Daphnia pulex: one gene and its partners. The protein of the gene in region 4 purifies or fractionates together with the protein of the main gene of each other region. This does not show direct contact. Links are inferred from orthologs where the notes say so. Each region holds a gene or a part of one and is shown on either strand. Other genes may lie near its edges. The genes, in order: E3 ubiquitin-protein ligase Ufd4-like, nuclear cap-binding protein subunit 1-like, carboxy-terminal kinesin 2-like, importin subunit alpha-1-like, GTP-binding nuclear protein Ran, CTD small phosphatase-like protein 2 and nuclear pore complex protein Nup153-like.

Region 1 (3,500 bases), on a different chromosome or scaffold from region 4:
CAGGACGGATCCACCACCACTGCGGCGGCGGCCAGTGCCGGAGGTTTGGCCCAGCCGGCCGAAGGCCTGGTGACGGGAGAGCTGCACAACGGCTGGATCGACGTCCAGTGGGATCACGGCGGATCCAATTCCTACCGGATGGGAGCAGAAGGCAAATACGATCTGAGGTTGGCGCCTTCGTACGATCCCGACGCCGCCCAGCAACAACAGCCAACGACAGCCGCCGCCGCTTCGTCGTCGACAGCGGGCAAAACATCTTCTGCCCTCAAGACCATCAACCTGGACAAATCGTGCACTTCGCTGGCCACGGGCGTCAAATCTTCGACCCCGACGTCAACTTTGACCAGCACCGGACCCGGCAACGCCCTGACTGGTAGCCGCAAATCCAGTTCCACCCCCAGTTTGCCGGAAGCCACCGGAGTGGTGAAACCCTCTGTGGCTTCGACGGAGCAGGCCACCTCGGTGGATAATCTCTTGACCTCGTCGTCTTCATCAACGGCCGCCGCTTCGGCCGTGGCCGAAAGTGTTTTGAGTCTGGCCAGCGCCGAAGCCGGCCTGGTGTCGTTCGAGCGCGTCCGCGGCGACAGCACGGGAACGCAGAGCACAGACGACGACGAAGCGACTTCGACGGCCGTCGCCGCCCTGGTGGGGGCCCTCAGTCTGATGGATCCCAGCGGCTCATCCGCCGAAGGAGCAGCCGGCGAGTCTCAAGTTTCCGACAGTCACAAGAACGCCAAGAACACTTATTTGGCTGGACAATCGACTGCGACGGCCACGGGAGCTGCAGCCACTCAACTCATGGATCACTCGAGTCTCTTGACCTCTTCCGGCGCTGCCACTGGATCATCGGCCGCATCCATCAGCTTGTCGGCGGCCAGTCAAGCGGCCGCAGCCGCCGCATTGGACGGCATCGTCGTCGACGATTCGCTCATGGCCGACGTGACGGAAGAAATGCTGGAAATCAACGCGTTCGATCTGCTCCGCAGCCTGGAACGACAGGCCAGTCAATTGCAGGCCGAAGCCGAAACGATGGCCGCCGCCTCGTCGGCCCTTTCTCACGTCGAATTAGCCGGGCAACAGCAACAACAACAACAGGCGGATGACGAACAGGACGACATGTCGTCGCCTCCTTCGCCTCCCTCCCAGTCGGTCAAAGTGGCTTCCGGCGCCGCTTCTGGCGTTCGCACGTCTGGTTCCATGAGCGTCAGCGTCCCCAATTTGACGACGACGTCATCAGAGCCGGAACGAGAAGTGGGCGGCGGACCCACGCCAGCTGCTTTCCTCGAAAGCTTCGCTAATGTGGCCCGAAGGTAAAGAGATGAGTTTGACTATTATTATTCAAAATTAACAGCCACTTACGAGTTGCATCCACCCGGAATGAATCATTCAACTCATTTCGATTTCTCTCTTTTGTTTTGTGTGACAGACGCCACCAAGCGGGCAATGCTGCCAACAGTGGAAGCGGCGGAGCATCGGGAGGAAACGCTTCCGGCTCACCCGTCGACCTGTCGAATGCCAATCGATCCAGCGGATCCAACAGCGGAGCGGGCGCAATGGCGGGCGGCGGTCACGGCCACGGCGCTAGCGGAACCAACGCCGTCAACGTCTCGTCTTCCTCGTCATCGAACGCCTCGTCGTCGCTGCTCTTCCCTCGCGGTCCCAATTCCGTGTCCAGTCTGGTCCGTCTGGCCCTGTCCTCCAACTTCCCCGGCGGACTGCTCAGCACGGCCCAGAGCTACCCGAGTCTGAGCAACACGCTGAGCAGCCTCTCGTCGGTGGCCAGCCACGCCGTTTCCATGGCGGGCGCCTCTTCCACCAACTTGCACCACGCCCACGGCGGCGCTGGTGCCGGCCAGGGGGGACACCAGCAGACGAGCAGCAGCAGCAGCCACGGATTGAGCCAGGCGCTGTCGATGAGTCTGACGGGCTCCAGCGACTCTGAGCAAGTCAGTTTGGAGGACTTTTTGGAGAGTTGCCGGGCCGGCACTTTGCTGGCCGAGCTGGAAGACGACGACGAGTTGCCCGAGCCGGACGAGGACGACAACGAAGACGACGATGAAAACGAAGACGATGAAGATTTCGAGGAAGTGACGGAAGAGGATGGAGGAGGCGGAGTCAGCAGTCTGGTGGGCGGGGCGGGCGACGGCAGCGGAGCCGGATCTCGACACGTGACCGGCAACACGAAGCGACGCAGTTGGGACGACGAATTCGTCCTCAAGAGACAATTTTCCGCCTTGATTCCGGCCTTTGATCCCCGTCCGGGCCGTACCAACGTTCACCAAACGTCCGATCTTGAAATTCCGCCACCCGGAGCCGCCGAAGGAGCGCAAGGAGCCGAAGCCGTCATCACCACTTCTTCGTCTCCGTCCTCGTCGGGCCTCTCGGCCACCGGCCAGCAATTGCAGCAGCAGTCCGTCATTCAATCGATGGACGTGGAAGCCGACGCCGATCTGGTGCCGCAACCCAAATTGCACCTGGTCCTGCGCGGCCCATGTCTGCCCAACATCCCCGACGTGGAAATTGAGCTGACGGACAGCGACTGGACCGTCTTCAAAGCCGTGCAGAAGCTGATCCAGGCCTCGGCCCTGGGCACCCGCCAGGAGAAATTGCGCCGCATCTGGGAGCCGACCTACACGCTCGTCTACAAGGAGCTCAAGGACGAGGCCGGTGCCGTCGTCGTCGTCGGTCCCTCGACGGGCGGAGCGATGGGCGACGCGGCCGGACAGCGCCGACTGATGGACGACGAACTCTTTTTGCCCGACTTTGACGTCAACACGCAGACGAGCAACACGGTGGGCTCGTGCAGCGTCGGCGACGTCCTCCTTTTGCTGCGGCAGCTCTACGTGCTGAGCAGCCGGCCACCGGCCGCCGGCGAGCAGTCGGATGTGGAGCAGCAGCAGCTGCAGCATCAATCGCACCACAGTCCGACCATCTTTATTCCGCTGGAGGAGTTTAGCAGCAAGAAAGTGACCAACAAGTTGATGCAACAACTTTCCGACCCTCTGGTCGTGTCGTCGGGCGCCCTGCCCGCCTGGTGCGAGCAGCTCCTGACCGTCTGCCCCATTTTGATTCCGTTCGAGACGCGCCAGATGTACTTTCACGCCAACGCTTTCGGCACTTCTCGGTAATTTTTGAATTGGTCCATTCGGTTTTTCCGTCCGTCCGTTCGTCTTTTTAACCAAACATATTTTCTCTTATTTCTTTGGCATTTCAGATCGATCGTTTGGCTGCAGAGTCAACGCGATTCGGCCGTCGAGAGGCAGAGAAACACGGGCGCCGTTCCCAGACGGGACGACCCGCACGAGTTCCGCGTCGGCCGGCTGAAACACGAGCGTGTGCGAGTGCCCCGCGGCGAGCGGCTCCTGGACTGGGCTCAGCAGGTGATGAAGGTCCACGCCGACCGCAAGGCCATTTTGGAGGTTGAATTCCAGGACGAGGAAGGGACGGGCCTGGGTCCGTCGCTCGAGTTTTACGCTCTGGTGGCGGCCGAGAGTCAGCGA
Region 2 (4,227 bases), on a different chromosome or scaffold from region 4:
TGTTCGCACCTCTAGATGGATCTTCATCAGATGATTCCGAATCAGATGGTGCAGCTCTGAGTTTAGCGCGTGCATCCGCCACCTCTTTCTCTAGACGGACGACGTGTTTGTTCATTTTGCGAATAGTCAAGTGCAAGACCTCCCAAATGTACGAACGAGTGAACTCGGGTGCCATGTCTCGTGAAAAGATCCAATTTGCTACGGCACAACACTCAACAATTTGTGTCTTTAACATCTTATCAACTACCACTCCTAAAAATTGTGGGTGGTGTTGCCAGAGCTCATAAACTTGACGAAGCATACAGATCTGTGCCTCTTCATTCTCACAAATATTCTATGACAGAAACGTAAAATTGAATCGTTTTATACTATCGATAACATTTCAATCTGTTGAAAATACCTTGAAGACTGAATGATATTTAGCGAGACCTGCAAAAGTATGCGTAAAACTCTTCGATCCCAAATGTAGCAGAGTCTGAACAAATACTTCAATTGCTAGAGGATTGTGTGAAGGCTCCATATCCCCGTCGTCATCTAATTACAATTGCATCAAAATGGCTTGAAGTTATACATATTGTATCCACCATATTTACCTTTGAGAGGATTCGGTAGTTGCTGGACCAACTCTAGTACTTCTTCAGGCGTTGGCTTTTTTCTTAGGAGCTCAGTCAAAGTCTGGACTTGAGCAGCCCCAGGAAAACCATTTCCTCCTTCAATTTGGTATTTAAAGTACGGTTCTGGTTTCGGGGGCAACAGCGGTGAGTAACATTCAGGCACCATTTCAGTCACGCGCTTGTGATAGGAGAGTCTCAAACATTTCCCGAACACTTCAGAAACAAATTTTGCCTGAAATTTAAGTGTTCCTTTAGATAGATTTCGAAAAATTTCATTTTTTTAAACATTTACCTTGGGGTGGTCTTTTTCGAGTGAAAGACAATTCTGCCAGTCATCCCAACTCCAGCGGAATTGAAAGTTACTGAGATGGTAAGAAAACCAAGAAACGAATCTATCAAAGCAGGTGGCATTCATGGTATCAATTCTTTCGTAAAGCAACTCCGTAGCCTGTGCTAACACCTGGTTGTGAAATAAAAAGTCAAATGAAAATGTTCAAGTTTCTACTGTAAGATCATATTTTCACCTGAGGCATTGTACTTGGTTGAAGCTTGCAAAGTTCTATCAAAGTACAACCATAAGCAATCTCCAAGTAACGAGGGGAAGGCATTTGGAAAAGTTCTGAGAAGAGAACTTCAACTATCATGTATTCCAAAGGGATCTTATTTCTCTGTGGGAACGCCAACAATTGGGTGGCTCTGAAAAGCAAAATTAATTTACTATTATCTGCACAAACGTTTCTGTCAAGTTGAAACTCACAGTTCCTTGCGTTCGTTATGATGACGAGTGATGATCTGGTGTAAATGTTCCTCAATCAAGTAACGCTCTACTGAATGAGTTCCTGGTAAAAGTGGACCAGCCTGAAAATGAGTCCCGAGTTAAATACGCACGATACACACTTTTGAAAGCGTTTAACTTACTTCTGGACAGTCAGTGTAATCAAACATCCTGAAAACAACCCATGGTAGCGGATATTGCGTACTAGCTGTGTGAGGCGGAGGTAGAATGACCGGGAGATTGTGTTGCAAAGCTTCAGAGAGGATAGAATCAAAAGCTAAATATGGACGGTAAATGTGTCTTTCCTGCCACTCGTCTGTCCGCAATTTCCGTACTTGAGCCCAAAGACATTCCAGGTATTCTTCCTAGAAAGAACGTTTTTCGAAATTTTTCAATTATTATTAAAATGCCATGCCATTTCTGACCTGTGGGTGCGGAGTTTCACAATTCCAAACTCGAAGAGCAGCGACATGAGCAGTATTTCTTCTGCGAAGATAACCTTCCATTGCTGCCATTATACGTTCAAGATCATTTTCTTTCTTTTCAAAAAGCTCTCGACCAACCCAAGGAAGCGCCGTCAACAACGCATACATGTACCTGTAAATTGATACAGTGTTGTGATCTACATTACTCTTGCTTTAGAATAAAACAAAAATTTAATTACCAGTCTCGTCGAACCTGAGGAACTCCTTGTTCCATGGCAGCGTCAATAAAACTGTCATATAACTGTAGCAAGGAAGAGGCAGAGACTATGTGACAGTTGACCATGTCAGATATGAAACGTACAATTAAACGAGCAGATTCCCATTGCCCCTCACGGAGAGCTTCTTTTAGGTTTCTCACTATTTGTTCCACAAACTAAAAAAAGATATACTTGTATCTTAAAAACTGAAAGTACAATTTTAAAACAAACCTCTCCTCCAAAATTATAGTTTTTAGCATTCAGAAGACCAACTAATGTGCTGTAGATAGTACATTTCTCTGGCATTTGGATTGGGCATTCCGACAAAATACGTAATATTTTACTCTTGTACGTGTTCAAATCAGCTTCTAATACTGAAGCAAGCCCTTCTAAATTGCTTTCTAAAGATGATGACGTTTTGTCTCCAACCCTGATAATAAGAGATTCTAACCGGTCTTCAATTTCTGCCTGCTCCGAGACAACTCTGCGCCTTTTACGATACCCATGTTCTGTAATTTTAAACAAATAACTTTTTATAATGTCATCAAATTCTTCAATAAGTTGTAATCCTTACCATATCCATCATCACGTTTCCTACGACTCATTCTTTGATTTTATTTTAAATTGGTCTACGACGCTTACAAGACAGACAAACTACTACCACCCTGTTTGACTGTTTGTCATATGGAGCTATTAAAGAAGCTGTTAATTTGACGCCATCTATTGATGAAATCATAAACTTCGATGATCGTGAAAATAGTTTACATAACTTGACAACGTAGCTGTAAAAATTGTTTATTTTAGGCAACGCAATTTGGCGCAAAAATTCAATTCAGTTTATATTCAGCTGAATTGAATTAAATTCACGCAAAAATGGGATTTGTTGAATTCAATTTAGGTGAAATTGGCTACGAATGTCGGACGATTCGGCAAAAACCATTTCGGCAAATCGCCGAAAACCGTTTCGGCAAAGTTGCCGAATTGTCACCTATGAAATTACCGATTCGGCAAAAGTCGATTCGGCAACTGTGCAAATGTAAATTGGCGGCAAATACTGTGGAACCCAATTAACCCCACAACGTTAGCTAGGGCTGTAAATCGGGTAAAAGCAAAGCGCACTGCTAAAAACCCAATTGATCTTTTTTTTCAAATCAAAATGGACTTAATGCCCACTTCGTTTTTTAAAGGAGAAGTTGTAGTTGGTTCTAAACGTCATTTAATTTTCATGACTGACGAACAACTAGCGCTTTTGAAAACTGCCGTTCGATGGTATGCCGACGGAACCTTTAAAATAATAAACTTCCCTTTCACTCAACTATTTTCCCTCCATGGTTTTCTAAAAAAGAATGGGCAGTTAAAGCAGGTTCCACTTTGTTTTGTGTTTATGTCGGGAAGGGCTCAAAGATCTCTCGGGAAAGACAGTATAATTCGCGTGTTGGTGGTGGCGCTGATTACCCGAAACCCACACAGCTAGCGCCACTGGCCTTACAACGGCATTTTAAACAATTTTGCCGAATTGGCTTTTTACCGAATTGGTATGTACGATTCGGGAAAATAACAAAGTCAACCAATTCGGCAAAAACCAATTCGGCAAACGTCAAATTTGCCGAATCGTCCGTATACCTTGGCTACAATTCACAACTTGGCTCGTAGTGCAAACTGTGGATGGAATGGAACGAACATCAGCTTGATGAGCGGCATTGATTAAGCCTGCAGGATTGCTTGACACACAATAACTGTCATCCGTTGAACTAGTGGATAGGCCTACAGATTCCGCTGCATTGACTACAATACAAAAAGAAATGATTAAAACGAAGAGTGAATAATAAAATTAATGGTGAATGGAAGTATGCTAACAACCACATGAGCCATACCTGGTAAAGAATTGTTCGTACTTGAGTCTCTTGTACGTGTGCTCTCGGCCCGTTTACGGCCCGCATTCACACTTTTCTCCACAGCAGGATTTGTTGTTGATGGGACACTACTGTTATTCACTGAACTGGTGGATAAAGATTCCGCTGCAATGACTACAACTTGAATACAAAAAGAAATGATGAACAATGAAGAGTGAATAATAAAATTAACGATGAATGGAAGTCTGCTAACAACCACATGAGCCATACCTGGTAAAGAATTGTTTGTGCTTAATCTTTCAC
Region 3 (3,943 bases), on a different chromosome or scaffold from region 4:
ATTCGAATATCGTGAACTCCTCCAGAAGGACCGAGTAGATCGCGGATTTGTTCATTGTAGATCTCCAAAAAAGAAGCTTCGATCTTGTAAGCCCAACCTTTGGCTCGAAGGGACTCACAAGCAGCAAAAATTAAACGCACAGAGCGTGGAATCATCCCGTCTGATTCAGACCCAGCAGTTCCGCCTGTAGAAAAATGAAATAGAACCACATTTAGTTGGTTTCTTAAACAGAAAATAAAAGGAAAACTAACCTTCCATAGTAAAAGTTTTGCCAGAACCGGTTTGCCCGTAGGCAAAAATGCAAACGTTGTAACCGTCCAACGCCGATTGAATAAGTTGAGAAATCTCATCGAAAACTTGCTGTTGAGTTGCATTAGGACCAAACACTCGATCAAAATTGAAGTCGATTTTTGAAGGTCCTTTGCCACTTGCAGGAGCATTCATTGAGCTTTCATTCAAAGTCATGTCAGCATTCAGTTTGTGTACTTCCAGAGACTTATCGTGTAAGACGTTTAAATGCGCGATTTTTCCTCCGGGCAATTTGTCCGAAGGAATGATGGGTCGGATTCGGCAAAATACGCGGATGTTGCCTTTCAGTTCTTGAACTGTGTTGTGTAGTAGACGTCTTTGAGTTTCTTCTTGCCGAAGTCGAGCCTTGAAAAAAAAAAAATTTGTTAAAAAAAGGAATAATAAAAATCATTTCTAAAACTTACTTGTAAGTCTTGAATTTCTGCTGTTGCCACAGACACATCATTTCTTAACCTAGCATTGTCAGCTTGTTCGATTGTTAAGTGGCGCTGAAGAGACTCCAATTCCGCGCGAAGACCAGCGGAGGCTGAGCTCATCTCAGCCATTGAGCATTTTAATCCAACAACTTCTTTCTGAGAGGCGATTAGTTCACCTTCCAGACTAGTCCTCTCACGCTCAATAAGACCTTTATGGAACTCCAATTCTCGAATCTTATTTTCCAGCAGAGATTTTTCAGTGGCACTCGACATCTCTAAGCCCCTGCAAATAAGAAGAGAGATTATTAACACATAAATAAAGAAAAGCTTAATAACTTACCTAATTTTACTCTTCAAAGTGTCGATTTCATCTGACAAAATATTCACTGCACTTTCCTTGTCCTTAATGTGGACCTCGAGGTTCTTATTGGTAGAGTCTAACACAGTGATGGTATCCTTCTTCTCGGCATTTTCGGTTTCCAACTCTCCAAGGCGCTTTTCGATAATTATCATCCTACTTTCCAGAGTTAGAGGTTTGGCTAGAGTAAAGTGAACAAACGAATTGTCATCAAACCAAAAAAATTTCTTGCATGAATTCAATCTTTTACTTACGTTTAACACCCTTGTTGGTGATGGCATTTGAAATAGAGTCTGCCTTTTTAGTAATGTCACGGGCAGCTATAAGAGAATTACTGTAATTATGCAGTTTAAGGAAGAAACTTGTTAAACAAACCTGTGCGGCCAAGAGTTGAAGATGCATGAGGTTTGAGGGCTGTCGATAAACCCCTACCCACAGTTGTTGATTTTCCATTTTGCCCAGTAGTGGCCAAGTTAGTGACTGATTTTGAACGAATCAATGTACTCGATGACTGGTGGCTACTAGCTGCTGGAGGGAAAAATAAAAAGCAATGAATTGAAATGTTTTAAAGCAATAAGAAATTCACTTACTGGTTGAAGCATCATCTGTTGTTCTTGGACGCTTTTCAATTGGTTGTACTGTTGACACCTCTGGACCTCGTCGTTTGGCAAGATTAGATAAAGAAGAGGAAGTCGAAGGGGGTTTCAGTCCCGAAGTAAAACCGGGTATCTTGCTAGCCATTTCTTTGTTTGGTTGAGGCGTAAGTGGCAACCGTTGGTAAAATAGCCTTTCTCGATTTTGACAAAGAGTTATCAAACTGTTAGTCAAACTGAATGTGATAAGCAATCTTATCTATAACTTACAAGAAAGCAGAGTAGAGTCCTCAACTAAGTTTAAATGAATTTGTGCAATGTAAGCAAGATTACTGTAAGTTGAAATCCTTGTAGAACCGACAACCGAAATAATTACGAAGGGTTTTCTTCTGATGCAGTAATGCAGATGATGCCTTTGAATTAATGCCACAAGTCGTTAACGGCAGAAATTCGAATCAAGTCGGCGTTGCCACTTTGAAATAAATCTATATGCGTCCTCGACGAACTCGAACGCCACCAAGCGGCCAGGCATTCAACCAGAGTAATAGCAATAGCATAGTAATTAGTAAATGAATATCTTTGCTCTGTGTAGGTAATATATACAAAATACATTGCTCTATTTATTTAGGAAAAATATGCATGATTGGTCCCCGGATTTCGGGGGCCAATAGTCAAAATAGCTATTGGGCCCTGGCACCAGGGGAACCCGGGGAAAGGACATGGCGTGTGATATTCGTTGAATTGTTGTTAATTCAATTTGGAAGTTATGACTAAATTATTTTTCAAACCATAGACCAAGGGGATGCCTGTCTTTTACTCGAAAGTTAACACCATCGCATTGAAGTTCTAGAATGCACGCAACATAGCCACGTAAACATAGTTTCACAGCTTCTATATTTATAACTGTTGAATAAAACTATGAAATAACTTCTAAATCGAATAAACATCGGATTTTACACGCCATATTTGTGTACTGTAAAATGGTGTCCCTTTGGTTGCAACGTTTTCTGGGAATGGCGCTGTCTACCAAACTTCCATCGAACAAGGTAAACGTCATTAATTTAAGAAAAGAAAAACAAAGTTGAAGTTGTCCTTAATTTTAAATAGCTGGACAGCCAGCGACATCAGAAACAAAAGACTGCTGTGAGGCGCGGCCTTATCCCCGGGTAGAGGCCAATAGGCCCGACCTTTATTCATTTATCTATTCTCTGATTCAACGCAACCGCAAATCCGCACTCATATTTCAGTCAGAATCTCTGTTTGTTTGAACGAATAAAATTTCAAAATAAATAACGCGAATAAAGTAGATGACCCACACGGTTTTATTCTAACACAATATGCGAAAAACAAACCAAACTTGTTGATCGAGTATTTAAAACGGGAAACAATGTTATTGCGCATTCAACCAGTCGTTTTCTAAATGCAGATAGCAAAATTGATCAAAAAACAAGGTCGTTTACGGTCAGTATATATTTACATAGAAATAACTGTTCAGCACCATGCACAAATGAAGTTATTGTCCTGAACTCGGGGCGTGAAGCGGTGACAAAGAAGCTTGTTCCGTCCCCTAAAGACACAAACGATTCTTACAATCAGTTCTATTGCACTGGCGATCCGCCAAGATAAAGCTTGAAAGAATTTTTTTGTTTTATTTAAAAAAAAAACTATTTAAATCCAATTAATTTTTTTTTAATGTTTATTACACCGTCCACATCATCTGGCCGCCAGTGCACTATAGTCCGTTTTGGCTATTTTACTGGCGGTACAAGGGCAGATACGTAAAAGGCAAACTGATAGGCAAACTGATAGGCAAACTGATAGGCAAACCTTCATGACAATTTTTTTTTTTTAAGGATGTCGTGCATAAAAATAACCATCATAAATTTGTATGTATATATAGGGGAAACCGGGGCTGTGTGGGGCTACATGGGCCATCTCAGTTTTGAGCATGTTCCCGTAATTTTTTAAATATTTTTTAAACCATATTTGGGCATTTATCATGCCCCATGTTTGTTAAAAAAAATATTAAAATAAAATTACTAAATGCTCAAAACTGCGATGTCCCATGTCCCATCCCTGTCCCACACAGCCCCAGTCTCCCCTATATATCATATAGTAATATTTATCTGCCCTTGTACCGCCAGTGCAATTGCCAAAATGGACTTTAGTGCATGGGTTAGTGAACAAAAAAATTTGTTTAAGCCTGGTTTAAGCTTCATCTTGCCTGTTTTGCTAGATTTCTCAAGCAATAAAATGCGACATAAAAC
Region 4 (4,016 bases):
TGGACGTGATACGAATGTGTTGGAATAAACACCAACTGCAACACCAACTTTGCAGGGTCGTTGTAATCCAGTTGAACCGATGACGGGAGTTGCAGCTGTTCACGTTGGATTTCTCCGTTTCTTTTGGAACTGCCCGGCGGATTGCAACTAATTGTGGGGAAATTGGAAATGAAAAGGAATTTTAGAGTCTATTAGCACACGTGACCTAATCACAGAATATGATTAGTTTTTAAGAAACGTATAGACTGAAAAATGTGTTTAACGTATTACGTGCACACTGTCCAGCACGGATTTTACGACCACCTGTGTCGGAATTAGCGATTCCAACTGAACTATATTTGGTACGCTCTGTTGATCAAACTTGTCGAAAGGCTAAACGGTCCCCTCTTGCAGTCGGATGAAACTGATTTTTAAAAATAAAAGTTATTTGCCTGCCACTGATTTAATAAATTAAATGAAATAAGATATATAACTTGAATTCACAACTGTTAGTGTTTAAAGCAATTAAAACGTTTTAATTTCTACAGAAAGTTTAGAGATCAGACAAGAGACATTGTAAATCTAAATTTCATTCTGTATGTTTGGTATCACAGCTAGGCCTACCTCATTTCGTTAGGAAGATGTATTAAAATGAAGTTTCTTCCATACTTTATCTGTTGATTCTGTTCACACTGATTTTGGATGATACTCTTACAACTGATGGAAAATTTGGTCTGAAAAATATTTGAAAATTTAGTATAAATTAATTTGGGTTGTGGGAGAAAACTTTTCTTTCTTCCAGATGGCAGTCTAAAGTTTAAGCTTTCAGGAATCGGCTGGCACTGGCTGGTATTCAAATTTTTGCCACTTTTTTAGTTTGGAAAACAGTTTTATATAAATTGAATGTTCAAGATTACTGGATCTATATTTGTATAACTTCTTCCTGCCAACATAAAAATTGTTGATGCTAGTTTTATGAAAACTGTTTAAACCAGGGGAGAGATCTCTGACACTGTCATTTGGACATCATCATACATCATGTTCTTAAAGAAAGACTTCCAACAGATCATTAAGTCAGAAGGTTAATTAATGAGAAATCCTATGGTAACAAATTCTTATTAAAATCAATTATCAATTTCAGTTAAATTCTATTATGACCAGCTCCATCGGCGTTTTTCATTTTCTGCTTATTTTGAAATTTTAAATTTTCTCGTCTGCTTATACGTTGCCAGATTTGATCCCATTCCGATTGCATCAATGAATAAATTTGGCAACAGGCAACGGTTAGGTTTGAAATTCCCTCCCCCTTCTTCTTCTTCGTCGTCTGGAATTCTCTTAGCGATCAAACGGTCACCATTCATCAATTGATTCTTGCTCACAAGTCCCGCAGGTAATTCCTCTCTCTATTAATTTTCAATTTTTCTGACATTCCCACGTGGAATAATAGTTTACTTCTTGCTTCGACTATAACAAATTGTGAAATAATGGTATGAGTCATCATTGACACATTTTTAACGACTGCCATAGTCTGGGAAATTTTGCACGTGGCGCGGGAAATTTTTTCTCTTTGTTGCTTCATTGTCTCGAGTCCCATTTCTCATTTTTCTTTTGTCATTGTGCCAGATTTGAAAATCCCTTTTAGAATTCTCTTTCTTTGACAGCTGGAGTAAATTACACTATCACAATGCCTACTGAAGCAAATCCCAGCCGGTTGAAGGACTTCAAGAACAAAGGCAGAGATGTTGAGGTAAATACCTTAAAATAACTAGTGTCAGTTCTCAAATGTAACAGATTTTTCATCTTTCTTGTTCAGGAAATGAGGAGGAGACGTACAGAGGTGAATGTTGAGTTGCGGAAAGCCAAGAAGGAAGATCATTTGTTGAAGAGACGTAACCTTGAAATCGATGATGAGCCCCTCAGCCCACTCCAAGAACAGAATCGGATGGCTGCAGCAAATATGAGCATTGAGGACATAGTCAATGGTATGTGTGCATCAGTTTTTATTTCTGAGTTGCTTCTCATATGTTTTTCATTATCGTTAGGTATCAACAGTGGTGATGAGAACAAGGAGATCACTGCAACCCATGCTGCCCGTAAAATCCTCAGCAGGGAACGTAATCCACCCATTGACATCCTCATTAATGCAAATGTTGTTCCGAAGCTGGTGGAGTTTCTCAGTCGTGTCAGCAAGTATGTCAAGTGTCTCTTTTGGTTTTTGAACATTTCCTAATGGTCTTTCTTTGTTTCAGCCCCGATCTGCAGTTTGAGTCAGCCTGGGCTCTCACCAACATTGCTTCAGGCACATCTGACCAGACAAAGGCTGTCGTCAGTGCTGGGGCTGTCGCTGGCTTCATTTCCCTGTTGGGGTCACCTCATCCAGTTGTGGCAGAGCAAGCTGTTTGGGCTCTGGGTAACATCGCCGGAGACGGACCAGAGCTTCGTGATCACGTCATCGAGCAAGGCATTATCAAGCCTCTGCTTACTTTGATTAAACCTGATACTTCGGTGAGTTTTATTTTAAATTTACGTTCGTGTGCAGTTGTTAATTGATTTGATCTATAGGCCACATTCTTGCGTAATGTCACTTGGACTTTGTCCAACTTGTGTCGTAACAAGAATCCTCCGCCCAGTGTCCCTGCCGTCCGGCAACTGCTTCCCGCATTGGCCCACCTGATCCACAACAACGACAAAGAGATCCTCGCCGATGCTTGCTGGGCTCTTTCTTACCTCACCGATGGCCCCAACGAACGGATTCAGGAGGTTGTCGACGCCGGTGTCGTCCCACGGCTGGTCGCTTTGCTGGACCACGTTGAGGTGGCCGTGATCACCCCCACTCTGAGAACAATCGGGAATATCGTTACAGGAAGTGACATTCAGACCGATTCCGTCCTGGCTGCTGGTGCCTGCCCGTTGCTGGCCAAGTTACTCGTTCATGCTAAGATGAACATCGTCAAGGAGGCTGCCTGGACCGTGTCCAACATTGCTGCCGGCAATGCCATCCAGATTCAGGCTCTCATCACCAACAATGTTATTCGTCCGTTGGTGGATGTGCTGGGCAAAGGTGACTTCAAATGCCAAAAGGAGGCAGCTTGGGCCATCACCAACATCACTTTAGGTAACTTATTTCATTTTTACTGGTGTTTTATTGATTTTTAATTGATTTTTCTTATTCATTTCAGGTGGCAATGTGGAGCAGATCGCCTTGTTGTGCCAGTTTGGTGCCATCGCTCCGCTGTGCACTTTGCTGGAGGCAAAGGAACCCAAGACCATCTTGGTCGTGCTGGATGGATTGGCTAATATTTTGGCCGCAGCTGAGAAAATGGGTGAATTGGAGAAAGTTTCCCTTCACGTCGAAGAGTGTGGTGGTCTGGACCGCATCGAAGCTCTGCAGAGCCACGACAATGTTGAAATCTATCACAAGTCATTGGCCATTCTGGAGCAGTACTTCTCAACTGACGTAATTTATTCTTTTTTTATTGTTTCTTTTTTTGGGTTTATTTCAATGATTACCACAACTGTTCACATTCATAGTGTTTGTGCTGACAACTTAACCATTACTGAGATTTTAGAAAATTAGTTTTATTTTGAAATAGTGTTCTTGAATTTGATTTAATCGTTTTTGTTTGTTATTTCGACAGGGGGATGAAGATTCCGAGTTGGCGCCATCTACATCGCAGAGTGGCAATTACGAATTCAACAACTCGCCATCTCAAGCCCCCGAAGGAGGTTTCTCATTCTAAATTTTGTATAATCTAAAAATTCTTTTTGATTTTTTTCTGCCTTTACAACGGTAAATATATTCTTCACTTTCTTGAACGCTATCCTAATCATGAGTTTTGGCCTTTTCTTATTTCAAAGTTTTTTTCTAAATTGTTTTTTAATTGAAAGTTGCCATTTGCTTTCATTTCTGTCCATGCACGACGTCTTCTTTCCTCTTTCTCAATGCGCGATAAACGAGCAATACAAAACAACTCGATCAACTCTACATTTGATAAGTTTTGATTTTGTCGTGCTAGTTTTTATTTTTTGTATTTCAA
Region 5 (3,461 bases), on a different chromosome or scaffold from region 4:
CCATTTCTCGTTGCTCCCGTCCTTAACCCACCGTTAGCCGCTGGGAAAATAACTGCCAATCCCTTTCTTCTTTCCGATTTTCCCGAAACAACAACACCTCTTCAAGCAAAAAAACGATTGATCGAAACCAATGTAAGCCAATCTCCCAGAAAATTAACAAAAATGGCCCCGCATGTTATGCCTGTGAAAGTTGAATTACTTCAACACAATTCGCCGGTTTGGTTGGTGAAATCTGAATTCGAGGAATCCAGTGTCATTGATCCCGACGAGATTCGACTGCTTCCCTTCGCACCTTCACATTTGGAATCACCACAAGAAGCTACTACAAAAGTCCCATTGAGTCGTCCTTCTACATCTTCGGTACCAAAGTCAAAAGTTGACATAGACGTGGATGAAGAAGGTAATTTATTCGCCACCATTCGTCTGATTGCCCCATCGCCTTCCATCACATCAAACAAACTTAAGGCATCAAAGAATGTTAACTGCAAAAACAAGAGGACTAGTAATCACTTTGGGCACTCTGGAAAAAATCCATCATCAAGGTTAAGCACAAAAAAAGAAACAAGAGCCAAAAAAGAGGACCCATTTTCTGTCAAGAGTCTGATGGCAAAGTTCATTGAAGCTGCAAAAAATAAAAAAATCTCCTAACTTTGATAACTATATATGATAAAACTTGGAGTTCCATGTTTATTTCAGATTATTTTAGTTTATTTTTATGTGTGCATGATTAGTTCGCCAATGTGGAATGTGATGACTACTGAAACCCCCTATCCCCATATTCCCCTTTGTCTTGCGTTTTTTGTTTGGATCCTCGTTCAAGTAGTCAGTTTCGCGTTGAGTTACAAACGAACCGGTATCGCATCAAAATGTTCGTCATAGCTTTATCTCCCAAGATTTTATACACTGTGATGAAACCTTCCGAAAATTATTTTGTAATAGTTCATTGATATTTTGTTTGTAAAACAAAACTCGCCATTATTTTTTGTAACCCAGAAATTCATCGTATCAATAAATACAGATGCTTGTATGAATGATCGCCTCCGTTGTTATTTTTCTTCGAACGGTTGATTTTATAACATACAATGAAATAATGACTAACAAAAAAAACAGCAATCATAACTTTGACAGAAATATTCATCATGCTGCTACCACGTCTTTTAATGTCCTATTAATTAATTTATATACAGTGATGCTTATAGGAATTTCTTTCTTCTTTTAAAAGGTAATTTCATTTGAATTAAGTGCTACTATCCTTTTTATTAACACATTTAGCATTTTAATCTCACACAAAATAAATATATTGTTGATTAAAAAATTAAAAAACATCATCCCGTTAATAGGCCTGAATGAAATTCAACATTAATAAATTACATTCAAAGCTTTAGACAGGCTTTAGAGAAATAGAGAGCTACAGCCCTGCTACAGCCTACTTTCCATTTTCAAATTCCAACCGTCTTTTTTTCAAAGAAAAGGAAAATATTCCCGCCGTTTCTCCTAGTGAAATTTGGCAACATCTCGCTAGGAATTTTTTAGAGCCACCCATTTTCAGCCAGCCTTTACGCTACCAGAATTTTTAGAGACCAGTTTGGTATTAGAACCGCGCGATTGTGAACCTAAAGCTTAAAACCGCCGGTGAGTTAGATTTATCTTCGAATATTGTCCACATCCTTCATCTTTTCGTTGTTTTAAGTAAGCAGTAATGTTTCTTTTGCCAATCTCTTTTTAATTCGGCATGGAAAGTATTTTAGTCATCATAGTTATTTTATTCTGCATTTTTCAAGTTGTAACCTCTAACAGTCATCTTCCTCCATCAAAGACAACGCACTAAGCTAGTCAGTGGCGGTAAAACTGTTCTGTGGTAGTTGTTTGAAATAGTCCCTTTTTTCTCTTGACATTAAACATTGACAGTTAACTTGTAAGTGTTCACGAGTGTGTAAATTTTTAGAAAAATATATTTTGTTGTCGTTAGATTAAGTTCCAGTAAATTCTTGTTGAATGACGCAATCAAGTCTGATCGATTCACTTATCTTTTCTCATTATTTGTAGGATTTACAACAGAATGGCTGCCGAACCTGACATGCCCACTTTCAAGCTGGTCTTGGTTGGCGATGGTGGTACCGGAAAAACCACTTTCGTTAAGCGTCACTTGACTGGTGAATTTGAAAAGAAGTATGTGGCCACACTTGGTGTGGAAGTTCACCCTTTGGTTTTCCATACAAACCGTGGAGCCATCAGATTCAACGTGTGGGACACTGCTGGTCAGGAGAAGTTTGGAGGTCTCAGAGATGGATATTACATTCAGGTAAATGTCAGCATACTTGTATTCACATGGTCTCGACTGACTTTCATTTATCTTGCAGGGCCAATGTGCTATCATCATGTTTGATGTAACCTCTCGTGTCACCTACAAAAATGTTCCAAATTGGCACAGAGATTTGGTCCGAGTTTGTGAAAACATCCCAATTGTTCTTTGTGGCAACAAAGTTGACATTAAAGATCGTAAAGTCAAGGCCAAATCCATTGTCTTTCACAGAAAGAAGAATCTCCAGGTATGTTAATTGTGCTACTAAATTGTAAATGCAATTTGCTAAATTTTGGTTTCATTTAGTACTATGACATTAGTGCCAAGTCAAACTACAACTTTGAAAAGCCTTTCCTCTGGCTAGCACGTAAGCTAATTGGAGACCCTAACCTAGAGTTTGTTGCTATGCCTGCTCTGCAGCCACCTGAGGTGCAGATGGATCCTAATTGGCAGAAGCAAATTGAAGGTGAATTGGAGGAAGCTCAACACATTGCACTACCAGAAGATGATGAAGACTTGTAACATCAACATATTAGGATTTAAGCCACTACACCCTCCCACAAATTTTTCCATCTGTGTTTTCTGCCTTCTATCTTAACCAATTTTTATTTGCGAGGTATGAAAATACATTGTGCGTCATAATACAAAAGTCTTTCGAATTTTTGTTTATTAGTGCATAATTTATTTGCGCAAGGGAAAATATACAAAGTAGTAAAGTTAAGAAAAATGTAGTGAACAAATAAACTACTCTCTAATGAAAACATCGATACACTCGCCACCTTCAAATTCCAGACTAGACGGTGTGTCATCTTCTTCCAACATTTCGCCGTCAAATTTAAACTTCAATTTGGACAAATCAATCCCGGTTGCTTCCGCATACTTCTGCATCAAAACTGCCATAGGGTCTTCGGGGCGCATTGATATAACCACTTGTGCATTCCGGTTCTGACTCTGAACCTTTAACTCCAACAATGTTTCGTTGGAGCTGACGACAACTCCTTCTTTGCAGACTGAAGCATCTGTTAAAAAAAAGCACTGTTACAACGTTCGCTAATACCAAACCCAATCGTCCAAAGTTTTTACATTGGAAAACCAATTGACTTCATGCCAGGGTTGCTAAAACCGATTTATGACGCTGAAATGGACTGTAATTTGAATG
Region 6 (3,881 bases), on a different chromosome or scaffold from region 4:
CATCCGATTATAGGAAAAGATTACCGCGTCCAGTGTGCTGAGTGTCAATCTGTTCTCATCAATCGTTCTAATTTCAAGCGTGTTTTGCCTTTGCCTCGTTCATCGTGGAGTGAAGCCGCTTCCGACTGGTATTGCCATCGACATGAGGGGGACGCAGACCATCAACTGGTACCTCGTTCAACCGATTGCCTGTTTGGAAGTTGTTACCATGCTCTCACGACGAGTTTGCTCATTGAAGGGAGCCTGGAAACCGCAGGCAGAGAATTATTATGTTCTAAATGTCAAGCCTCTGTAGGTCTAATGGAAGAAGGCCTTATGAATGTATGGTGCCACTCCATCAAATGGTTTCTGCTTGAAGAAAATGATCAATGGAAGATGATAGAAGACGTAACGACGCCACTGCAAGCTTTTTATTTCACACTGTACGATGCATTAGAAGAAGAAAAATCTTTTTTTGGTCGGAAGCTAGCCTTTCGAGATGGTGTAGGAGGCGGTCAGACTCTCCTTTTATGGTTTGTAGGCGACAACGGATTCACCCTTGATTCCAAGGAATCTGCATCGGAGATCGAACTGCGTCAAAGTGCACTCCATAAAGTATTGTACAAATCGGAGAATTCGACAAGTAAGAAAATTCCCAACGACGTGATTGAATACCAAGTGAGCAGAGAGATGATGAATAGTGCCTTGTCGGTATTGCGCAATAGTTCCGAGCAACTTCCCCCTGGATGTCGAACGGCCGCTGGCTTCTCCATAGGCTATCTGTCTCTTTCCTCGTGAAAATGTTTCAAAGACACGCCCATTTGTCAATCAATACACCTTTTACAGGAAACACAATTTCGTTTATTAATTTTTACGAAACCTATTGTAATTTTTATGTTAGCTATTACAACAGCCATTGTTTTGTTGACAATTTGAAATTTCGAAAACTATTACATCATTTCTGAAATCGAAATTACCAAGGAAAAAATTGGTGATATGAGCAATAGAGCTAGTAGAGTAGAGTAAGCCTTCTAGTGACGCTGTTTTAGTAGCCTCAGGCCAACGAATTTTTACTGAATGGTGGGCGAGGATCAGAGCATGCTGGTGGTGAAAAGCCGAAACTAGAATAAAATTTTAACCACTTTTCATGTATTTTTATTGATCGACGTCTACTGAAGGTCAGTGAAGCACACCAAGTTTATTTTCAATTGTCTTTGGTCATACTTTGTTATTCAACTTTAAATAATCAAGCGCATTTAGCAATTTAGAATACCATGGTTCAATATTGGCCGCTACGTGTCTCTGATACTGGCACCGGTTTTTGGGACGTCTGAAAATAGAAAGGATCTCGGCCGTAGTACACAGATAGCTTTCCGAAAAGTAGGCCATCCATAAAAGAGGGCGCACTGGGCGCTTGGTTGACTGGTTCTGCATTTTCGCTTCAACTGTCGAAAGACTTTCGATACATTTTCAACTACGAGTCCAAGTTAAGCTCAAGAGCGTAACTAGGGCTTGGAAAAATTAGTTTAGAAAATGATCACTCGCAGTCTTAGGAAAAAGCTATCGCCAGTTAAAAGGGTAGCTAGAGCGAAAGCTTCGGCGCCCAAATCTCCACCAAACTCTGTTCTACCCAAGCAGCCGTCGCCGCGCAGCAAGAAACGCGCCAAACGAAGTGTCAAAATTCGCGGTGGGACAAGGATTTCCCCTTCATCGGTTAACAGTAGGAAAGCAGCTTTGAACAGAAATAACAAATCTTTTTCCTCAGAAATGGTACAATCTACAAGAGTCTTGATCGAGTCCAAAAGCTTGGAGAGAACATCCAAGAGTCATTCTAAAACTGCAGCAAAGATGGAGCCTGCGAGTGTTGTAGTTAGTACGGATCAAGATGAAAAAGAGAATAGTCCTGAAATATCTGTCTGCCAGAATGGTGGTGCAGTTGGTACAACTACAGACTTGTACTGTACGCAGGAGCTTGTCTATACTGCAAGCAACGAAAATGAAACAGAAGATAATTTTCTCCTTTGTGAAGAAGTAATGTCTACCAAAGAAGTATTCATCACTCAAGCCCATGAAGCACCTGTTACTGATGAAACAACATACATCAGGCGAGAAGAAATTGAAATCGAGCCATTTGATCCATTCTACTTCATCAAGCATCTTCCTCCTTTGACTCCTCAAATGCAAAGACAGTGCCCAGCTCTTCCGCTGAAAACAAGAAGCAGCCCCACATTTTCACTGGTTTTAGATCTTGTAAGTTAACCATTCATGGTTTTCCAAGCATGTTATTGATGAATATTTCTCATACAGGATGAAACACTTGTGCACTGCAGCTTAGAGGAATTGGAAGATGCTGCTTTCAGTTTTCCTGTCTTCTTTCAGGATACGACATACCAGGTGTTTGTACGAACCCGACCACATTTTCGGGAATTTCTCGAGCGAGTGTCACAAATTTTCGAAGTCATTTTGTTTACCGCGTCCAAAAAAGTTTATGCTGACAAGTTATTAAATTTGTTGGATCCACAGCGTCGTTGGATCAAGTATGGAATTTTATTAATTCTTGATTTGCTTTCCAACTAACTTTTTCACGTTACATTGATTTTAGGTATCGGTTGTTTCGAGAACATTGCGTTTGTGTTAACGGTAATTATATTAAAGATTTGACTATCCTTGGACGCGACTTATCGCGCACAATTATCATCGATAACTCACCCCAAGCATTTGGATACCAAGTAATTTTTCGTTCATTCATTTTTCATTCATTTTTGTTCGTTAAAAACTAATCCATTTTTATCATTCAGCTTGAAAATGGTATTCCGATCGAAAGCTGGTTTGTAGACCAGACAGATGAGGAACTTTTGAAATTGATTCCGTTTCTTGTAAACCTGGTCAATATGGTAATTTTGAAAAATGTGCATTATTGTCTTAAACATTTTAAAATATCCATTTTGTTTCTTTTAGAATCAAGATGTTCGGCCGTATATACGTGAAAAGTACAGACTATTCTCTTATTTGCCTCCTGATTAACTAAAGACAGAAGATTTAGCGAATACTCAATGTGTGCAATTGACATCCTCAATTATTTTTTAAACGGACCGTTTGTCTACAGACTCTGACCTTCTATTTCTTGAAAACATGAGCATTTATTCTCTGGCAGAGCAACTTTTTGTTGCGTTTTAAATGGTTTTCGGCTATTGTTTTAGCCGAATGTTTTATGTGTAAACTATATACACACTAGAGACCAAATTTAGCAGGTGTACCTGGCTGTTCATTGCCTGACTTGAACCCCGGTTATTTTTTTTTCTCCTCTTTTGCTGCCTCGTTCATCTCCCCAGTTTGTTGTGTATGTTGACTCAATCGAGAAGTGAATGGTAAAACAATTAATAGACAGAAATAACAGTGGTCGTTGGAAATATCGTACATTATTTACACCAAATGAGACGTTAGGTACTGAAAGAACATTGCGGCTAATCTAGGTATATCATCAACTGGATGCGTTTTGGCAAAACTTATAAACTGCCGCCTGATCCTTGAAAGTTCTGACAGTTGATAGCGTCGTTTTAAAAGAAACTTCTCATTCGAGTTTGGGATAGAAACTTCGTCCCCGACCACACACGTTTTTTGAGCCTCGACTACTCGCTGGAAAAAAAAGAAAAAAAAATATTTATTATTCGTGAGCTAGGTAGGCCTACCTATGTAATAATGCCTTGCTTGAACTTACATTTACTATTTCTTGTGTCACACAATCCAGCTCGTACAGGAAGTTTGTTGATGTAAGAGGAAGCTGTGAATAAATAAGTTAAGAAAACAGTAACTTAAAGAATTCAAGTAAACAAATGATCATTGAATGTACTGATTGTGTGGACTGATTTGGAGTTGGGGCCTTTCTTTCGTACAGAGCTGCA
Region 7 (4,093 bases), on a different chromosome or scaffold from region 4:
CAGTTGCTGTTGAGACACTCTTACAGGATGCGCCACTCTCCAACAGCAATTGCACAGGTCGTCAAATGGTTCCGGGTCTTCTTTTATTAGGAGGCGGACAGAGTAGGAAAATTGACTCTCCATTCATAACCGATTCATCGAATGCCACTGGAATTAAAGAAACTACTCAATCGTCTCGTCCGCCCAAGGCATGTTTTTCTTATGCCTCTGCCAACACTTCTTAAAATCATATATTTATTACTTAATCTTTAGACTTCTGGAGGGTTGCGCCCGGAAATACGTCTAAGGTACTTGGCCCAAGTACTGGAATACGAGGTCGAGTTTTCCGATTTTCCAAAGGTAATAAACATTTTAAAAACTAATTTTAATTTACTGTTGGAATTAATGTAATATTATTAGGGCAAGAAAGGAGATTTCGTTAGCCTTGTGACCTTGAATACAAATCCTCCGCAAGTGTCGCACGGACTTGGTGCCACTTTGGAAGAAGCCCATGATAACGTAATCATAACTTGACTATATTTTGGCAATCAGCTTAAGTTAATTATTTAATTGATGTTCTTTTTGTTAATTCTTTGCACAGGCTGCTTCCAATATGATGAAATTGCTTTCTGAAGGGTCTCAAGATGACACCGTTGGTCCCAACAAAGAAAACGCAGATCAACGAAGCACAGGACCCCAATAATTTTGTTTTTCCTATAATGCCCTGTTTGATATGTTGAGATTTGAAATGAGATTGTCTCATATCTATTTAATTTAGTTTTTGTGTCATTTAACTTAATATTCAAGCACGCTATCACGATTTTTCTTTTGTTATTCATTTGTGGGTTTGCAGTCAAAACTATTTTTCTTTGTCTTTCACTCTTTTTTTCCCCCTTCTACATTGTACACGGTTCAGCTTTTTATTTCATTATTTTTCATTTAACGGTTATTTGTATTTATTTTCAAATAAAATCAGGAGCTTATCTCTTGCTGACTCTTTATCATGTGTGGAAGAAAAAAAAAGAATTTTGAAAATGAATAATCTGTACCGTTGACTAAAAGAACGAAAATCAGAAAAAAATGGGTGCAAGTTCTAAGATTATGCAATCATACTGATCATACTTTTACGTAATACTGCACTACTGCATTAAAGAACTTGCGTTTTTTTTTACATGGCGCAGCGTGATACCTATATTTGCAGCACACATTACTAGTGGCTGTTTTATGTAACAGCGCTAGCCAAAATGAAAATTAATTTCATGCATGGGGGGAGGGGGTTACCGCATGCGAATTAGGCAATTTCTTTTAGTTCGATCGGTTGATTCATCGAGAATGGTCGAGAAGGGTTCCGCTGGAGCCAAACTATAGCCCGTCACAAACGCCCTCTACTGATAAATTTATAAGTTCTTTGAGCAACATCGTTCTTCATTTGTTTCTCGTAACCGCCAATCAGATCTTTCTAAACTTAAAAAAAATCCGCCATCTTTTCTCGGCACTTTTTTCCTCGCCGCGTGTGGGTCGTGGTGCGACGGGTTAAAGCTGTTTTCTTGCAACAGTATCTGATTTCCGTATTGATTGATAATTTCTAAAACAGTCATGTGGGAAGATAATTTAGGTAAAGTCAAGGCAAGGCGGAGCAAAAATTCAAAACCATACGAAAGGCCCAAGGTAAGACTAAAATACGTTTGTGTGAGTTTGTGAAACCCCAACTATATCCGGCTTTTTGTCTATCAGTCGATTTTGAGGCGAGTAACAGATTCAGTTACTGGATTGTTACCACAACCTTCTTGGCTGGTGAATTGGTTACAATCTACATCAGCTAAAAAAGAAGATAGTGAAAATGATGAAGTTGAGGAAGAACAACCTGTGCCGTCAACCAGTTCATCCAGCAATGGTAACAGCTCCCACCGAGAAGGTGTTGAAAGAGAGTCCTTCATATTTCGCAGACCACCTGGGACATCCAAAGAACAAAGCAACAGTAAGTTTTTTTCATCAATGTTCTGCTCCCTTCAAACTGTGTAACACATGCTTCTTTTTTTGTTTGACTTGCAGTAAGAGCTCGTCCAAATGTCCCTTCTTTGGACTTACTTCCAGAGCCAGTAGTGGTTGAATCAAGTTCAAGAGAACAAATCGTTCAAACAAATGGTTTGTATTAAACACTGATTTTCAAACTTTTATGACATCTCACATCTCATTTCCTCTGACAGGTGATGATGACTCCAACTCAGAGTCAACTAGCGGATGTTCCTCATTGTTACCACATCTCGAGCATAAGAGGGAGAGCAGAAATATAGAACTATCAAGTTTGGGAGTTGCTGAACCTCTCTCTATTAATCAATCTTCACTGCAAATCATTGGAAGCTCTTTGAGCAAGTCCCTAGCAGTTGACCTAAAAAATAGCCGTGGACGCAAAACTCTCAGCCTTCATACTTTTGGTCATGATACAAGTTCAGGTATAACTCCCACAGAAGAATCAAGGTTCCACAAGGATACAGGTAGATTTCTAATGACATTTTCATCATTTTGTAGTCAAGAATTTTGCTTACAAATGAGTCTAATGTATTGTTTTTGATTTGTAGAAGAGGCTAGTGGCTCATTTTTCGACAAAGACGACACTTCACTCAATCGTTCAGCTGCCAAGCGAGACCTTTCCCAACCTCAACTTTCATCGTATGGAAGCAAGAGACCACGCTTCAATATAACTTCATTTGGACCTACGGCTGCTGTAAGTCTTGAATTTAATTTACTAACAAAGTCTGGACTCTATTCTTTTATTACTTCCAACAGGAGGCTAGGCGGTCTTTAATGAACGAGAGTGTTGTAGACTCACCATTTTATGCTGGTAAGACGACTTACGGTGGTGCTTCAGCTTATCGCCGTGCCACTTTACAACCTTCAGCTGCACTATTCCCATACGTGCGAAGTCGAATTCAGGCTAGGCCTGCGTCTTCAGCTCCATCCACTTCGAGTTCTGTTGCTTCTACCAGTTCGTCAAATGTTGTACTTAGTAGTTCAGCGCAACGAATCCTTCAAGCACTCGAAGCCATGTCAACACCAGTGAGAGATGCAAAAAGGATTCCTGCTGCATCCAACAGTAAACGATCCACTTCTTTACAAGGCGAAGAACTTTCGTTCACTGGTAAATTGATAAAAGTTATGAATTGCTTAACGTTATAATAATTTCGCTTTGTGTTTAAAGGGTTTGGTTTGAGTCGCCGACGTCCAAATTTGGGACCTCCAACTTCCAAATTATCTGTCGGTACTCCGGCACAGATTGTCACCCGACCAGCTCCAGCAAACTTGTCTCAAATAGAACCAGCACTAGTATCGAGCACCCCCATCAGTGCCCAGGTTGGTGGCAAGATGCGAATGAGGATGTCAGCACCACTTCGCAAATCGGCTCCTCGTATTCGAGAGGATGAAGATGTAGAGTCGGAGGAGCTCACTGCTGTGCCAATGCCCATTAGTATAGCAGGTCTACCTAGTTTCAACTTGCTACCTCCTTGCTCGGTGGTAGAAAAAGCAACTGTTGTATCGACGAAGACTTCAGTGAAAACAGCAGCAGTAATGAGTTCCAATGGATTGGTTAGTTCTTCAATGACGAGTACCTCAACACCTCGTCCAGCTTTCACGTTTTCAGCACCGTTGGTTACCGTCAGTCCGTACAAGGTAGATGCAGCCGTCAGTTCGAAGCCGCTCAGTTTCAACTTCAGCTCCCCATTGCTCGTCAACGCTTCTCCGAAAAAAACACCAGAGAAGGAGACTCCAACTAAACCCGCAGAAGTGGAATTGAAATCTGGAAGTGTCCTTGATGTTCTCAGAGGGAAAAGTCAAGAAGCTGTGCCCGTTTTGGAGCCAGTTATTAAGTCACCACCGGTTCTTTCAGGATTTGGAGATAAATTCAAGGCACCTACCGATTCTTGGACATGTTCTGTCTGTTGCGTTCCCAATTCCAAGGACAAATCTTCGTGTGTGGCATGCGAATCTCCAGCCCCCAATGCAGTAAAAGCAATGCCTATTGCTCCTGCTGCTGCTGCTGCTCCTGTTGCGCCTCCAACAAAAGGATTCGGTGATCAATTTAAAATGACCGCCGCTCAATGGGAATGTTCTGTGT

What was found.
Region 1: the proteins of importin subunit alpha-1-like (region 4) and E3 ubiquitin-protein ligase Ufd4-like purify together in Homo sapiens (affinity purification with mass spectrometry; 3 studies listed by BioGRID, with this or other methods). This does not show direct contact. The link is inferred for Daphnia pulex from reciprocal best matches to the Homo sapiens genes KPNA2 and HECTD1.
Region 2: the proteins of importin subunit alpha-1-like (region 4) and nuclear cap-binding protein subunit 1-like purify together in Homo sapiens (co-immunoprecipitation; 5 studies listed by BioGRID and IntAct, with this or other methods). This does not show direct contact. The link is inferred for Daphnia pulex from reciprocal best matches to the Homo sapiens genes KPNA2 and NCBP1.
Region 3: the proteins of importin subunit alpha-1-like (region 4) and carboxy-terminal kinesin 2-like purify together in Homo sapiens (co-immunoprecipitation; 4 studies listed by BioGRID and IntAct, with this or other methods). This does not show direct contact. The link is inferred for Daphnia pulex from reciprocal best matches to the Homo sapiens genes KPNA2 and KIFC1.
Region 5: the proteins of importin subunit alpha-1-like (region 4) and GTP-binding nuclear protein Ran purify together in Homo sapiens (affinity purification with mass spectrometry; 3 studies listed by BioGRID and IntAct, with this or other methods). This does not show direct contact. The link is inferred for Daphnia pulex from reciprocal best matches to the Homo sapiens genes KPNA2 and RAN.
Region 6: the proteins of importin subunit alpha-1-like (region 4) and CTD small phosphatase-like protein 2 purify together in Homo sapiens (affinity purification with mass spectrometry; 4 studies listed by BioGRID and IntAct, with this or other methods). This does not show direct contact. The link is inferred for Daphnia pulex from reciprocal best matches to the Homo sapiens genes KPNA2 and CTDSPL2.
Region 7: the proteins of importin subunit alpha-1-like (region 4) and nuclear pore complex protein Nup153-like purify together in Homo sapiens (co-immunoprecipitation; 4 studies listed by BioGRID and IntAct, counting the BioPlex papers as one, with this or other methods). This does not show direct contact. The link is inferred for Daphnia pulex from reciprocal best matches to the Homo sapiens genes KPNA2 and NUP153.

Annotation. Positions count from the first base shown.
Region 1 is NC_060020.1:92,536-96,035, reverse strand, and holds part of E3 ubiquitin-protein ligase Ufd4-like, read left to right. Parts: coding exon 1-1,310; intron 1,311-1,426; coding exon 1,427-3,124; intron 3,125-3,214; coding exon 3,215-3,500. UniProt on the Homo sapiens protein: E3 ubiquitin-protein ligase which accepts ubiquitin from an E2 ubiquitin-conjugating enzyme in the form of a thioester and then directly transfers the ubiquitin to targeted substrates.
Region 2 is NC_060022.1:6,378,315-6,382,541, forward strand, and holds the start of nuclear cap-binding protein subunit 1-like, read right to left. Parts: upstream 2,801-4,227; 5' UTR 2,677-2,800; coding exon 2,646-2,676; intron 2,581-2,645; coding exon 2,303-2,580; intron 2,248-2,302; coding exon 2,054-2,247; intron 1,987-2,053; coding exon 1,815-1,986; intron 1,755-1,814; coding exon 1,533-1,754; intron 1,473-1,532; coding exon 1,372-1,472; intron 1,311-1,371; coding exon 1,139-1,310; intron 1,075-1,138; coding exon 907-1,074; intron 847-906; coding exon 594-846; intron 535-593; coding exon 401-534; intron 335-400; coding exon 10-334; intron 1-9. Other genes in the region: uncharacterized protein LOC124196162, read right to left, coding at 3,669-3,856, 3,946-4,104, 4,195-4,227. UniProt on the Homo sapiens protein: Component of the cap-binding complex (CBC), which binds cotranscriptionally to the 5'-cap of pre-mRNAs and is involved in various processes such as pre-mRNA splicing, translation regulation, nonsense-mediated mRNA decay, RNA-mediated gene silencing (RNAi) by microRNAs (miRNAs) and mRNA export.
Region 3 is NC_060023.1:9,698,238-9,702,180, reverse strand, and holds the start of carboxy-terminal kinesin 2-like, read right to left. Parts: upstream 2,801-3,943; 5' UTR 1,947-2,800; intron 1,875-1,946; exon of another isoform or gene 1,871-1,874; 5' UTR 1,825-1,870; coding exon 1,674-1,824; intron 1,612-1,673; coding exon 1,459-1,611; intron 1,404-1,458; coding exon 1,338-1,403; intron 1,265-1,337; coding exon 1,066-1,264; intron 1,009-1,065; coding exon 714-1,008; intron 655-713; coding exon 252-654; intron 185-251; coding exon 1-184. UniProt on the Homo sapiens protein: Minus end-directed microtubule-dependent motor required for bipolar spindle formation. May contribute to movement of early endocytic vesicles. Regulates cilium formation and structure.
Region 4 is NC_060028.1:48,995-53,010, reverse strand, and holds importin subunit alpha-1-like, read left to right. Parts: upstream 1-1,216; 5' UTR 1,217-1,369; intron 1,370-1,602; exon of another isoform or gene 1,603-1,640; 5' UTR 1,641-1,663; coding exon 1,664-1,726; intron 1,727-1,792; coding exon 1,793-1,961; intron 1,962-2,021; coding exon 2,022-2,169; intron 2,170-2,228; coding exon 2,229-2,484; intron 2,485-2,541; coding exon 2,542-3,094; intron 3,095-3,158; coding exon 3,159-3,436; intron 3,437-3,617; coding exon 3,618-3,719; 3' UTR 3,720-3,964; downstream 3,965-4,016.
Region 5 is NC_060020.1:1,358,597-1,362,057, forward strand, and holds GTP-binding nuclear protein Ran, read left to right. Parts: upstream 1-1,479; 5' UTR 1,480-1,632; exon of another isoform or gene 1,633-1,689; intron 1,690-1,817; exon of another isoform or gene 1,818-1,915; intron 1,916-2,046; 5' UTR 2,047-2,059; coding exon 2,060-2,302; intron 2,303-2,360; coding exon 2,361-2,549; intron 2,550-2,608; coding exon 2,609-2,824; 3' UTR 2,825-2,961; downstream 2,962-3,461. Other genes in the region: uncharacterized protein LOC124192239, read left to right, coding at 1-648; NFATC2-interacting protein-like, read right to left, coding at 3,047-3,321. UniProt on the Homo sapiens protein: GTPase involved in nucleocytoplasmic transport, participating both to the import and the export from the nucleus of proteins and RNAs. Switches between a cytoplasmic GDP- and a nuclear GTP-bound state by nucleotide exchange and GTP hydrolysis.
Region 6 is NC_060021.1:11,134,968-11,138,848, reverse strand, and holds CTD small phosphatase-like protein 2, read left to right. Parts: upstream 1-1,338; 5' UTR 1,339-1,512; coding exon 1,513-2,229; intron 2,230-2,286; coding exon 2,287-2,516; intron 2,517-2,581; coding exon 2,582-2,708; intron 2,709-2,777; coding exon 2,778-2,873; intron 2,874-2,937; coding exon 2,938-3,003; 3' UTR 3,004-3,381; downstream 3,382-3,881. Other genes in the region: uncharacterized protein YJR141W-like, read left to right, coding at 1-777; protein KTI12 homolog, read right to left, coding at 3,403-3,615, 3,698-3,760, 3,830-3,881. UniProt on the Homo sapiens protein: Probable phosphatase.
Region 7 is NC_060021.1:252,442-256,534, reverse strand, and holds the start of nuclear pore complex protein Nup153-like, read left to right. Parts: upstream 1-1,293; 5' UTR 1,294-1,575; coding exon 1,576-1,647; intron 1,648-1,713; coding exon 1,714-1,957; intron 1,958-2,028; coding exon 2,029-2,124; intron 2,125-2,186; coding exon 2,187-2,474; intron 2,475-2,558; coding exon 2,559-2,704; intron 2,705-2,766; coding exon 2,767-3,118; intron 3,119-3,178; coding exon 3,179-4,093. Other genes in the region: double-stranded RNA-binding protein Staufen homolog, read left to right, coding at 1-188, 253-339, 400-498, 581-682. UniProt on the Homo sapiens protein: Component of the nuclear pore complex (NPC), a complex required for the trafficking across the nuclear envelope. Functions as a scaffolding element in the nuclear phase of the NPC essential for normal nucleocytoplasmic transport of proteins and mRNAs.